Drosophila melanogaster: one gene and its partners. The protein of the gene in region 1 purifies or fractionates together with the protein of each later gene. This does not show direct contact. Each region holds a gene or a part of one and is shown on either strand. Other genes may lie near its edges. The genes, in order: CG4611, CG4553 and mTerf3.

Region 1 (4,607 bases):
TGAAAGCGGAGGCCAAGGCATCGGGAAGATGTCTAGCCGCTGGAATCCTGGCACCAAAGATCCTCCACTCGGACCTCAACACCCACAAGCTGTATATGGAATATTTCGATGCAGCCAAGACTGCCAAGCAGTTCATCCAGGAAACAGTGTCCACTCAGACGGAGGATGAAGCCAAGAAATGTCTGCTGGAGTTCTGCACGCGGATCGGTGAAATCATTGGGAAAATGCACTCCAATCACATTATACATGGCGATCTCACCACATCTAACATCCTCATCAATCCGAAGGGTGGCGACTACGATGTCATTCTGATTGACTTCGGCTTGAGCCACTACAATCAGGCCACCGAGGACAAGGGTGTGGATCTGTACGTCCTGGAGCGGGCGCTACTCAGTACGCACAGCGAACAGCCGTATATCTTCGAGCACGTCCTGGCCGCCTATCGCACAGCGTGCGGTAAGGACGAACAGGCAGTGCTCACCAAGTTCGAGGAGGTGCGAGCACGCGGACGCAAAAGAACCATGATTGGTTAACGAATAATAATAAACTTTATTGGGAGTTAAACTTTTTAGCTTATTCTATCCTCTTCAAAGACTCTTTGGGAGGGTCATCCTTCAGCTCGTGTATCTTGATCTTCTTGATGTACTTTCGCTGTTTCGTTTTGTGCTTGAGCTGCTCGTGCTTGAGTGGTTCCATTCCGTTGACAGGCGGCAGCTTGAACTGGTCATACGGGCGCTCCTTCACCTTGGCAATGGCGTCCTCCAGCTTGAGACCGGACAGTCCCTGCTCCTCGTAGTACAGGCGGTATTTATCACAGAACTTAGAGTGGCCCTTCTTAAAGGCTGCCGTCTTGGTTGATGGATGCTGCATATACACAACAATTAATGATTTAACTAGCAGAAAGTTAGCTATAAACTCACTCTGGCATCAATGGCTCGCGCACAACCTCTGTGAAAGTTGTGCAGGTGCCGCAGGAAGGCTTCATTTGGCTTAAGGCCCTCCTCCAGACTCAACTGAATGATCTCGTTGACGTAGCTAAAGGATTTGTTAGCACATCCCTGCCGCAGCATGGCCCCCAGTATGGGCATGTTCATCTTAATGCCCGCCACATGCATCTGTTCCAGCAGTTCCCTAGCCTCTTCCTGCGTGCGACAACCCAAAGCGAGCACACCGTAGGTGACAATGTCCGGCCGCAAACCCGCCGTGCGAATCATGAGGAGCACTTCCTTGGCACTCTCGTAATCAAAGCGCATGGAACGCTTTTTAATCAGTATGTTGAAGAAGTCGATGTCCGCCTTGAGGCCAATCTTGCGCACAAACGTGAGCAGCTGCTTCTCGGCAGCATTTGTGGGCGGTATCACCTCCAGCATTGCGGTAAATGTCTCGATGTCCGGTGTAATGTTGTGCTGCTTCATGTGCTCCAGAAAGCCAGTGAGACCGCCGAGTAGCAAGAAACGTTCGTGTGGACGTGTCACCTCCTCCAGGGCCACCAGACTGCCCAGATGCGGCTGAGGCAGCAAAAGATTGGGCAGTTCCAGCTCGCTCGCTGTGGTGGCCACCTCAATTTGGGCAGGCAACGTAGTTGTGTTGGCTTCCACACTGGGTAAATCATCTTGCTGACCTTTCTCCAACTGGAGAACTGGTTTCTTTCTAGCAGCTGAGGGCGCAATTTTATCGATAACCTCTCGCATGGAATCCAAGTCACCGAAGCCACAATCCCTTGCACATCTCAGCATTGCATTGAAGCTGTAGTAGTCCGGGCTAATACCTCGCTGCAACATGTTGTGCCAAGTCAGCAGAGCATGCCGGAAACCGTGCTCCGAGTTGCTGGCACACGCCTGCAGCAGAAAGTTGAATGTATCTGCATTCAGTTCCAGCTGGCGCTCCATCATTTCGTCGGCCAGCATGTAGGCGGTGTCCACATCGCCACACCTTCCATACGCCTTGATCATGGCATTGTAGTTTTTCACATTTGGTTCGTAGCCCTTCTCGAGCATGTTCTCCCGCAGGATTTGGGCCTTGGCCAGGCCATCGCTCACGGAGGGAGCATTGGCGCAGGCGTTGAATAGCGAAGTGTAGGTTCCTCCGGTGACTTGAAGACCACGTTGCCGCATCTTGGTGTACAGGAAGAAGGCCTTGCGGGTGTAGCCCGCCTTGGCACAGCCACTGATCAGCAGATTGTATATGTACTTGTCCGGCTTGGCGCGATCCTCCTTTAGCATCCGTTGCTCCAGCACGGCGATGGCCTCATTTAGGCGATTCGCCTTAAGATGGTCCTTAATTTGGCGGGCGTATTCCACGGCTTTTAGTTTCTTTGAGCGCCTAGTGGAATTGCTAAGGAACTCCTCTTCCTCGACATCACCCGGGTCTTCTGTTGCAGCCACCTTGGCATCGCCAAAGGTGTCCGGATCACCAAAATCCTGCACCTTTTTGGTGGACTTCTCTTTGGGTTTCTTTTCTGGCTTAAACTTCTGGTGCTCCTTGGGTGCTGCTGTGATAAGTTCTTCAAAAACTTCTTCGCGAAAAGGATTCTGGTTCCTGTTGGCCTCTCGTTTGGTCTCCAAACCGGCTTGTTGATCCGTAATCCTCACGTGCAGCAGGCGATTTTGTGAGCAAGACCAAGTTGCAGGCAGAATAACCAGCCGGCTGATGTTGTAACTATTTAACCGTCTTCCGGTGGCATTTAATTGCAAGCCACGTATGTGGCAGCTCATTGAACGGCTAATCAACCGCAGAGCCATGTTATCTGTTGCAATTTTCTGTGATTTTTATGTAATTAAAAAAAAACTATTTTAAACGTGCGTGTGGCGGCGGTGTAAATAAAGAAACAGCTGATGAAGGGGCGTTGCCACCTTGTGTCCGAAATGCCAGTCAAATAAGAACGTAAGCAACCTGCACGGCATTCACATTCCACGCAAACATCCATTGCAATCTGACCTGGTTTTTCGATTAAATTGGTGAAAATTAAATAAATTAAAAATGAACATGACCGTGGATCCGCGCCGCAAGGAGAAGATCAACCGCTACAAGGCGCCCAAGAACCAGGGCCAGAGCGGCGGCGCCAACGAGGACATGATGCCGGATTACATGAACATTCTGGGCATGATTTTCTCCATGTGTGGACTGATGATGAAGGTAATAACACCCCAAAGATTACAACCAAGTGACTTGGCATTTATCAGTATGTAACCCACCTACACAGCTCAAGTGGTGCGCCTGGTTTGCGCTGTACTGCTCCTGCATTAGTTTCGCCAGTTCTCGGGCCAGCGACGATGCCAAACAGGTGCTCTCCTCCTTTATGTTGAGCGTCAGTGCGGTGGTGATGTCCTACCTCCAGAATCCCGCTGCCATGACCCCACCATGGGCTTCCTAGCACTGGACCTAAGATAACTATTTTAAATTTAATGTAATTGAACAGTTGAGAGCCTCGGTTTTGTTCGACGCTCAGTAAAAAAGTACGTACGTAGTTGGTTGCCTTGTGAATTCAGGACAGCTTTCTGGAACTTGACCTTATAGCTATATAGGTACCAACTCCAAGACTTGCCTAGTGTAGATGAAGGTATATTTTATTGCATTCCGAAAGGGATTAAAAGGGGACTAACATGAATACAGGCGGCTGGGCTCAATTCAATAATTAATAACTTAGGTAGGCGGTGATGTGGAGGTAGTACTGCTAATGAGATGACTCCTCGCACGGCGATTGTGGCTAGGTGGTGAGCAGGTAGTAGGCGAACAGCATGAATGCCACAATGTAGACGGTGCCGAAGATCAGGACGTATTAAATCTCTCCAAAGTTCTTGTGTCCGGTTTGCTTGGCATGCTCCTGGGCCTGCACCTGGCCGACCAGCCTGACATCGCACTGCATGCAGCGCAGCGTGAATTTATCCACATTGGTGTATTGGCGGGAGGACTGCGCCTCGTTGGCCAACTGCTCGGCCTGCTGATAGACGCCCAGCTCTTCCACCGGGAAGATGGTGGCCGGCGCAGCACTCGGCGATGTCTCCATGTACAGCGGATCGTAGTGGATGCCATCGAAGAGCAGGAAGACACGCAGTCCAAAGTTCTTGTCCTCGCCAAAGCGATTGATAATGGCGTTTTGTATGTCCACCACATCGATCTCAATGCCATAGTAGTTGGACAGTATGGACACTTCGATGGCGCCGCCCCACGAATCCGCCTTCTGTATCCAGGCGCAGTACTCGGCATTCGATTTGCCCAGCACGGCGTCGTTGTAGCTCTGCGGATCGGCGGCCACCTCCTGCGCAATGATGTGACGCATCATTTCGCTGCCCTCGTTGTCCACCTTCCCGTTGAGCACGAATCGTATGCTGGTGAAGAGGCACGAATTGTCCGCCGGCACCACCTTCTTCAGCAGTATGCCATTAAAGTCGCCATTCGGTCCGCTTTCCGTCGGCGCCACTGGCAGCTGGTAGTCTGCTGCCTGGGCGACTGGACCGCCAGCGGTTTCCTGCAGCAGCTGTGCCTCCTCCTCGGCCTGCAGACGACGCGCCAGCGCCTCGTCATCCTCCACGGTGGTGCCGCCAGGCACAGGGGCAGCAGGAGCAGGGGCAGCCTTCTCCTCCACAATCAGCGTCTCTCCGCTGTTG
Region 2 (3,485 bases), on another chromosome or scaffold:
ATATTTGCGCGGAACTACTGCAATCTGTTTGGACACCAGGAATTGGGCGTGTTCCAGCAGTTGTCGCAGGCGGGCTTGTTGCCACCACTTGTGGTGGAGAAAAAGGCGCCAACGAAACTGCTCTCAAATCTACCTCTGCCCAAGTTCCAGCAAACGGAGTTTCAGGCCAATGCTAATCGGCTAAAGCTGTTGACCTCCAGTGGAGATGGTCAGGATGGAGGTTCCTCCTCCAAGAGCCAATCCAGTGGCTTGCAGACCTGTCCCAGTTTTGTGTTCAATGGCACCTACATACCATTGGTGGCTCAGCTCTGCTCCATTTTGCTGAAAATCAATAGTGCTGAGGAGTTGTCCTCGAAGCTGGGCATGATTGAGGGGCTGCATCTACACCTGGACAGCGGAAAAATCACGCCCAAGGCCTATGCCAGCCAAGTGAAGCTAAACGGAGTTGCAGATCAGGATATGTTCCCCTTGCGTCTCAGGAATCTCTTTGTATTCATTGTGGGTGGTGCCAGTTATGCGGAAATCGCCGCCTGCGATTTTGTGGCAAAGCTAACAGGCGCCCAAATAACCGTGGCATCCGACTCTCTAATGGCGGGCAGTGATTTGATCGCCACCGCCTTCAACCGCTGACCATGAAGTAACTAAGAATCTGTGTATCAAATGTTTTATATATTTTTATACAAAACAATGATGACAAAGCTTGTGATTAACAATTTTCGAAATTTACAATTTAAACAATGCTCTTTTCGAATAAATATTACCTAAAAGTGGCATTTGCTATTTATCACCACTGGCTCTGGTCATTCCAGGCACTCGGTAGAGCAGCTCTCCATCGTCATCGTAATAGGCATCCTCCACCCGGTAAGTGGCTCCTTGGCGATGCAGTTTCCGGGGAATAACAATGCGTGTTTTCACCTGGGTTATTTCATACTTGCGCTGATCCGCGGCACTGATCACAATCTCGCTGCTCGCAAACTTGGGCACGAAACTGGGCAGGAATCCGGTGCCACTGGGATTCTCGATGGGCCGCTTCATTTCCTCTGGAACTGCGGGCGCAGACTCAACGAGCTGCAATTCCTTAAGCTCCTGCAGCCGCATCTTCTTTTTATTACGGATTTTGTCCAACAAATAGGTTTCATCTTCGGCAGCAGAGGGTGGAGCTTCATAGCCGGATGGGATTTGTGGTGTAGGCATCTCCTCTGTTGTTTTACTACTGCTGCCCAGCAGTTTGCGGAATTCGTTGCCTTGCGGAGTCGGTAGTTGTGATTTTGTGGGCCAATCCTGGATTTTAAGCTCCCGCAGATCCTGCCACCTTCGCTCGGCGAATTTCTGCAGATGCTGGAGAAGAGACGGTGGGATACTGAAGTCACCCTTTCCCGTCCCTAAAAGCTGCCAGTTTTTAATGACGGTTTCATCGTGGGAGCGTATCCTTTGCACACTTCTCGGTCGCCACTTGGCCCGCAGAATTTTCTGCACAATGTCCGGAGTGGCGGGAAAACTTTCGGCCAATCGCTCAACGCTCCATTCCTCGGGATCTCGCTCGTGCAGCAGGCGCATCTGCTCCTTTTCGGCATGAAGCAAGAGATTGGGCAACTTGGCGTCTCGGAAATACTTGTGCTTTATCATAAACTGACGGATGCGGTCGCGATGCTGCTGCTGCTCCCTCTCGTACTGCCGATGGGTCTTCTGCACGTCCATGAAATCCGACTCCAGATCGGCGTAATCCTCGCTAGCTTCGCTGCTCTTTTCCGGGTGCTCCTGCAGCTGCTCCAGCTGGTAACCTAGTCCAGGATTTGCGCGACGAGGAGCTCTCGCCAACAGACAGGAGCGAGCAGTGTGCAGGCCGCGTTGGATCATGCGGGCAGTCATCTTGGTGAACAATTTTAAGTCATTTAAACTTTTTGTTTACATAAACAGCCGCATGCAAACCGCGATTAAGGCTATCGATATATAGCGCTTATCGTCTTCTAATTCATTATCGATAAGTCGTCGGTATAGCACTTTACAAAACGTAACAACCCTCCCGAAATTGTGTTGCTGATTTTTTTGTTGTTTCCGCTGAACCGGCGAAGTTATTTGTATTTAATTGTTTATTCGACTTCCAAGCTCACGAAATCATGGCCAGCAATGAGTCCGGCGGCGGTAACCTGATGGACGAGTTCGAGGAGGCCTTCCAGTCGTGCCTGCTGACGCTGACCAAACAGGAGCCGAATTCCGGGACAAACAAGGAGGAAATCGATCTGGAGGTACAGAAGACCACAAATCGCTTCATAGACGTCGCCCGCCAAATGGAGGCGTTCTTCCTGCAGAAGCGTTTTCTCGTCTCCACGCTGAAGCCCTACATGCTGATCAAGGACGAGAATCAGGACCTGAGCATCGAGATTCAACGCAAGGAGGCACTCCTGCAGAAGCACTACAATCGCCTGGAGGAGTGGAAGGCCTGCCTATCGGACATCCAACAGGGCGTACACAGTCGCCCCACGCCGCCCATCGGCTCTGGAATGCTGCAAGGTCCCGGTGGCGGAATGCCACCCATGGGAGGTACACCGCCGCGACCGGGAATGATGCCCGGAATGCCTCCGGGTGCAATGCAACCCGGCGGACCCATGCAGCCCAGTCCACACATGCTGCAGGCACAGCAGATGCAGCAGCTCCGCATGATAAGCAGACAAATGCCACCCAAATGAAACAGGAATGCATTCCTTTTAGCTTGTAATCTTGTATAGACCTGGATTAGTTAAATAAACCGATTTGATTATATATCACGAACGTTTTTATAATCCTTATATAGTTCGTTTCTTACTCATAGTTTTGATGATTAATAGTTTTCCTTCCCATATCTGCAAAACATTCACTTTTGAGGAGAAAAATCGTTACGCATTTATTATAATATCTGTGCCATTTATTTTTGTTATCTTTATGTCGCGTGTTAAATAATTGTAATTCTGCTTGTCCTAGCCGGATACGCAGAATTGTTTGTATATAGCCATGATCTATATCGTGTAAATATGTATTTAAATCATATGCTGTATATTTTGTTGTTTTTACTTGTATCTAATGTAAGTCTACACATGAATTAGGACAGTTTCGAACTTAACTGAGTTGACGAAAAAATAATCTTATGCGCTCGGTTATGGGTAATTGGTAATTGTAATTAGATAGGATAAACCACATTTGTAACTTTAGTCCACAGGAAATATCGACAAAGTCGACGAATTACCTACGATTAAATTAAAGGGTGTAACCACGGCATTGGTTCGATTCGGGTATTTTAGTCGATCTCGTATACCTTATCCGGTTCAAAGCCCGGAGCAGGTGCTGCCGGTGGCCCATGTGCCACCGATCCGCCCGCCATTGGCGGAACACCACCAGTGCCCTGGTTGTAGCCAGCGGCATTGGGATTCTGGTTGGCGTAGAGCAGGGGATTCATGTACATCCCGCTGGGATGGACAATATTTGAGTGCAGGTTGAGGAGATCCTTGTAC
Region 3 (3,822 bases), about 15 Mb from region 1:
CAAGGAGTAATTCCATTGATGCACCCAACATCATGCACTACGATATTAAAATTAAAATAGTCTAACCAGTTATTGTTAACTTTTATATCTGCTACTTTTGATCTACAATTTTTCATTTCACTTTTCTAGGTAAATTGTCGCCGCAAAAAGAGAAGAAACTAAAATAAGAAGTTGATATAAATAAACTTTAAAGCTGCAGAAACAAAGTGGATCGGGCCATTCTTTAAATTAAAAACCAAAACAGAGAAGAGAATTATGTACATAAACTAAAGAAAACTGTACTGATTAAATTAAATACATAACATGTAAATATATATATATATATGTATAAAAGATATATATATATATATATATATATTTATTAAAAAGACAAAATGGAATTATTGTACTTGTTAATAAGAGAATATAAAGGACATTCTATGTTCTAGTGCTAGGTTAATACAATACAAAAGATTTAATTGTCTTAGCTTAAGCTACAAACCAATCTGGCTTTTCTCGAGCTATGTACAGAAGCGCATCTGATTCTAGACCTCCAGAATTGCCGACATGGTCTTCTTGACCGCATCGCGGGCGTAGGGGATGTACGACAGCGAGTACCAGGTCATGGCCAGAGATTGTATGATAATGAATATAAGCGTGAGTCCCGCCTTTTTCCACTAAAGCCAATCAAATAAAAATAATAACATATTAAGTGCACACATCGATTGCATCGTACTGTTTTTTTGTTCAAGTAATAAGAATTAAACCAATATTCAGAATTTAATTGCTAGGGCATGTGAAACTGTGTTATTAATATTAAAAGTAAAATGCTAAAAGCTTTCATTTAACTTTACTGTGAGTTCATGAAGTATGTATAAGATTTGGATCGCTATTTCATTGGATAACTTTAAAGTCTAAACATTAAGGAAAAGTTTTCTACAAAACCTGCAAACAAATTCGTCATGCTATCGCTATAAAACTAACTTGATTATAAAAGTTAACGACCGAACCCTAAATAATTGTGATATCTTCGATTTGAGCATGGACGCCTTACCACAATAGCAGCGATGAACGTCAGGACCATCATGACGAGCACGATGATGGTGGCGATCAGCCGTGTTTCCGCAAACATTTTCTTGATCTGCTTGAAGGGACCCATGAGAAAGCAGGTACTGAAACCGGAGAAGAGAGACTCATTAGCCGGCTTGTGTGAAGTACGAGTGGAACGGAACCAGCAACTCGCTCACCTGGCCATCGAGATGACGTTTCCTAGAGTGTAGAAGACCGCAAAGACCACAATGCCCCTGTGCAGAAATAGGGCGACCGAGCCGAGTAGGGAAAGTAAGATGCCCAAGGCAAAGCAGATGACGAATCCCTTGATCCGAGTGGACCAGCTCAAAGTGGACATGTCGTTGATCTGCGTATGTAATTGATTGATATTAACTAAATACTTTGATAAGCGTTGGGTCACACGGCTTGGGGCGCCATGTGATCGCGGGGCGTTGCCAGCGGCTAGCTCCTAAGCCACGCCATAATCATAATTCCTCCAGCCAGAATATGTTAAGGGATCTAATGAGATCTGTACCATTAGAAAATTTCTTCACCTGCGTAATGATACTGCTCTCCTCCTCCGGAGTGGGCTCATCTCCACTCAGAACGCGGCGCAACTTGTCCATTATGCGGCGATTGAATAATGTTCAACAGGTGGCTGACTTGGAATTACCGGCACTCCTCTCGGGGGGTTTTGCACATACAAGGGTCTCTTCTGTTTTTATGCTCCGGAATTTTCACACCAAAATAAATCCAAGATCATACCTAGTGTGACCGTGGTGGTAACCGTTAACATATACCGTCCGATTAAAAATTATACCAACAATTTGCAATTTTATATATATCTTCATAAAAAAACTAAAGAAATCAGATATTAGTAGTGCATTTTTGTTCAAGAATATCCATTTAAAAACAAATATGTTTTTATATCAAAATCATATTCAAAATATAATTTTAGCTTTTTCTAGCTAGCATGCCATATTTAGAAACTTTGGCAGCCAACTGCTGGTCACATTCGCGACATCTGGCAACGCCTCCAGCATGTTTTGTTCAGCTCTACGTAACATTTTGAGGAATTCACAAAATGCGGCTAAAAACGCAACAATTACCTCACAAATACGAAATCTGCGAGGACAACAAAGTGTCCACCATGAGGTAGAAGTGTTAACATCACCGGGTATAACCACCAAACAGAATGACAAGAAGACCGAGCCTGCGGAATGTGAAGGCTCCAAAGAAGTGGCTCTGGACTTCCGAAATCGGGAGGCCCATGTGCCTTCCTTCAATTTGGCGGCCTATGTGAACAACTCGAGTACCCTGCAGCAATTTCTCAGCTTGGGAGTGGATCTGCACAGTATTGAACGGCGAAAGGGATTGGGAGACTTTGTACTGAAGCTGGATTTCGAGAAAAATGTGAAGCCCTACATAACGTTCCTGGTGGATCAGGGCGTATCACCCGATGACTTCGGCAGGATGTTCACCAAGAACCCGCTGCTGTTCAAGGAGGACTTGGACGATCTGCAGACCAGAGTGAACTATCTAAAAAGCAAGAGATTCTCGGACGAAGCCAGGCAAAGAATTCTCACCCAGAATCCTTATTGGCTGATGTTCTCCACCAGGCGAGTGGATCGTCGATTGGGTTACTTCCAAAAGGAGTTCAAATTGAGTGGTCATGATCTGCGACTGTTGGCCACCAGAGAACCCAATGCCATTACCTACAATATGGAACACCTCCGCAAGTCTGTGTTCACCCTTAAGGAGGAAATGGGATTCAATGCCAAGGAGCTAAGTGACCTGGTGGTACGAAAGCCGCGCCTCTTGATGATTCGTAAGTCTATCTACATTCAAAATTAAGGACATTTGTAATTAAACAACTTATCCTTGCAGCTCCGGATGATCTTGTCGAGCGATTTAGTTACATTCACCAGGATATGGGCCTTCCACATGCCCAGATTGTCCAGTGCCCGGAGCTTTTGGCCTCACGCGAATTTAGACTGCGGGAACGTCATGAGTTCCTGAAATTGCTTGGAAGAGCGCAATATGATCCGCAAAAAGACCTGTATATATCGCCAAAAACTATAGTGGAAGGCAATAACTTTTATTTCGTCCGAAATGTGGCTAAAAGTGATTTGGAAACATTTGATTTGTTTTTGAAAACGAGATAAGAATAAAATAAAAGTAAATGTATATATACTTTTCATATTCATATATGCATATGCATATATTTTCAAAAGTCAACAGAAACCAAGTTTTATCATTTTAAAAATAACCACCAATAAATTTACTTGATACAAGGGATGCCAGATGTAGGAAAACATAGACACGCACCTGGATTGCTACCGTTTCTCCATCTGGTCACACTGGACAGCAACAAAAGATTTAAACTACGCATTAAGCTTGTGCGTAGAAACGAATCGTGTTTAATTTTAGTTACAAGACAGTCGCTTCGGGAGAAGCATTAAACAAAGTTGCAATATTTCGGAGCTCCAGCGGTTGGCTTCAGTCCGAAACCAGTAGTTATAGTCAAATCGAGTGCAGCGGCGGAGAAACAGCGCCAAACGAAAAGTAAAACGCATTTTCCTACGCATACATAAACAGCAAAAGCGAATACACAAACACAGGCAGACATACGGAAGGGCCAAAAAAAACTTGGTCAAACTCACGAAAGAATAATAGAAATAGTTTAACTTTAAAGCGAGTTAATAATAAGCAATAAACCCAAGTTATCTTTGGTGTTGACGTGTTGAACACACATACCGATAAACAAAAACAAAATGTCTACGACACCAAAAT

Evidence for each region.
Region 2: the proteins of CG4611 (region 1) and CG4553 purify together in Drosophila melanogaster (affinity purification with mass spectrometry, with the first as the bait; one large-scale study listed by BioGRID). This does not show direct contact.
Region 3: the proteins of CG4611 (region 1) and mTerf3 purify together in Drosophila melanogaster (affinity purification with mass spectrometry, with the first as the bait; one large-scale study listed by BioGRID). This does not show direct contact.

What each region holds. Positions count from the first base shown.
Region 1 is NT_037436.4:5,134,606-5,139,212, reverse strand, and holds CG4611 (uncharacterized protein), read right to left. Parts: upstream 2,838-4,607; 5' UTR 2,742-2,837; coding exon 921-2,741; intron 865-920; coding exon 574-864; 3' UTR 534-573; downstream 1-533. Other genes in the region: Tcs5 (Threonyl-carbamoyl synthesis 5), read left to right, coding at 1-533; CG10674 (uncharacterized protein), read left to right, coding at 2,980-3,135, 3,203-3,373; Yod1 deubiquitinase, read right to left, coding at 3,779-4,607.
Region 2 is NT_033777.3:25,474,985-25,478,469, forward strand, and holds CG4553 (uncharacterized protein), read right to left. Parts: upstream 1,932-3,485; 5' UTR 1,870-1,931; coding exon 778-1,869; 3' UTR 652-777; downstream 1-651. Other genes in the region: Vps33B (vacuolar protein sorting 33B), read left to right, coding at 1-630; MED28 (mediator complex subunit 28), read left to right, coding at 2,118-2,687; XNP, read right to left, coding at 3,272-3,485.
Region 3 is NT_037436.4:20,518,989-20,522,810, reverse strand, and holds mTerf3 (mitochondrial transcription termination factor 3), read left to right. Parts: upstream 1-2,038; 5' UTR 2,039-2,070; coding exon 2,071-2,857; intron 2,858-2,916; coding exon 2,917-3,194; 3' UTR 3,195-3,221; downstream 3,222-3,822. Other genes in the region: Pss (phosphatidylserine synthase), read left to right, coding at 130-167; CG5104 (uncharacterized protein), read right to left, coding at 525-656, 1,034-1,151, 1,227-1,396, 1,584-1,655; BNIP3, read left to right, coding at 3,804-3,822. UniProt on the Drosophila melanogaster protein: Binds promoter DNA and regulates initiation of transcription. Regulator of mitochondrial ribosome biogenesis and translation that is essential for development. Required for normal mitochondrial transcription and translation.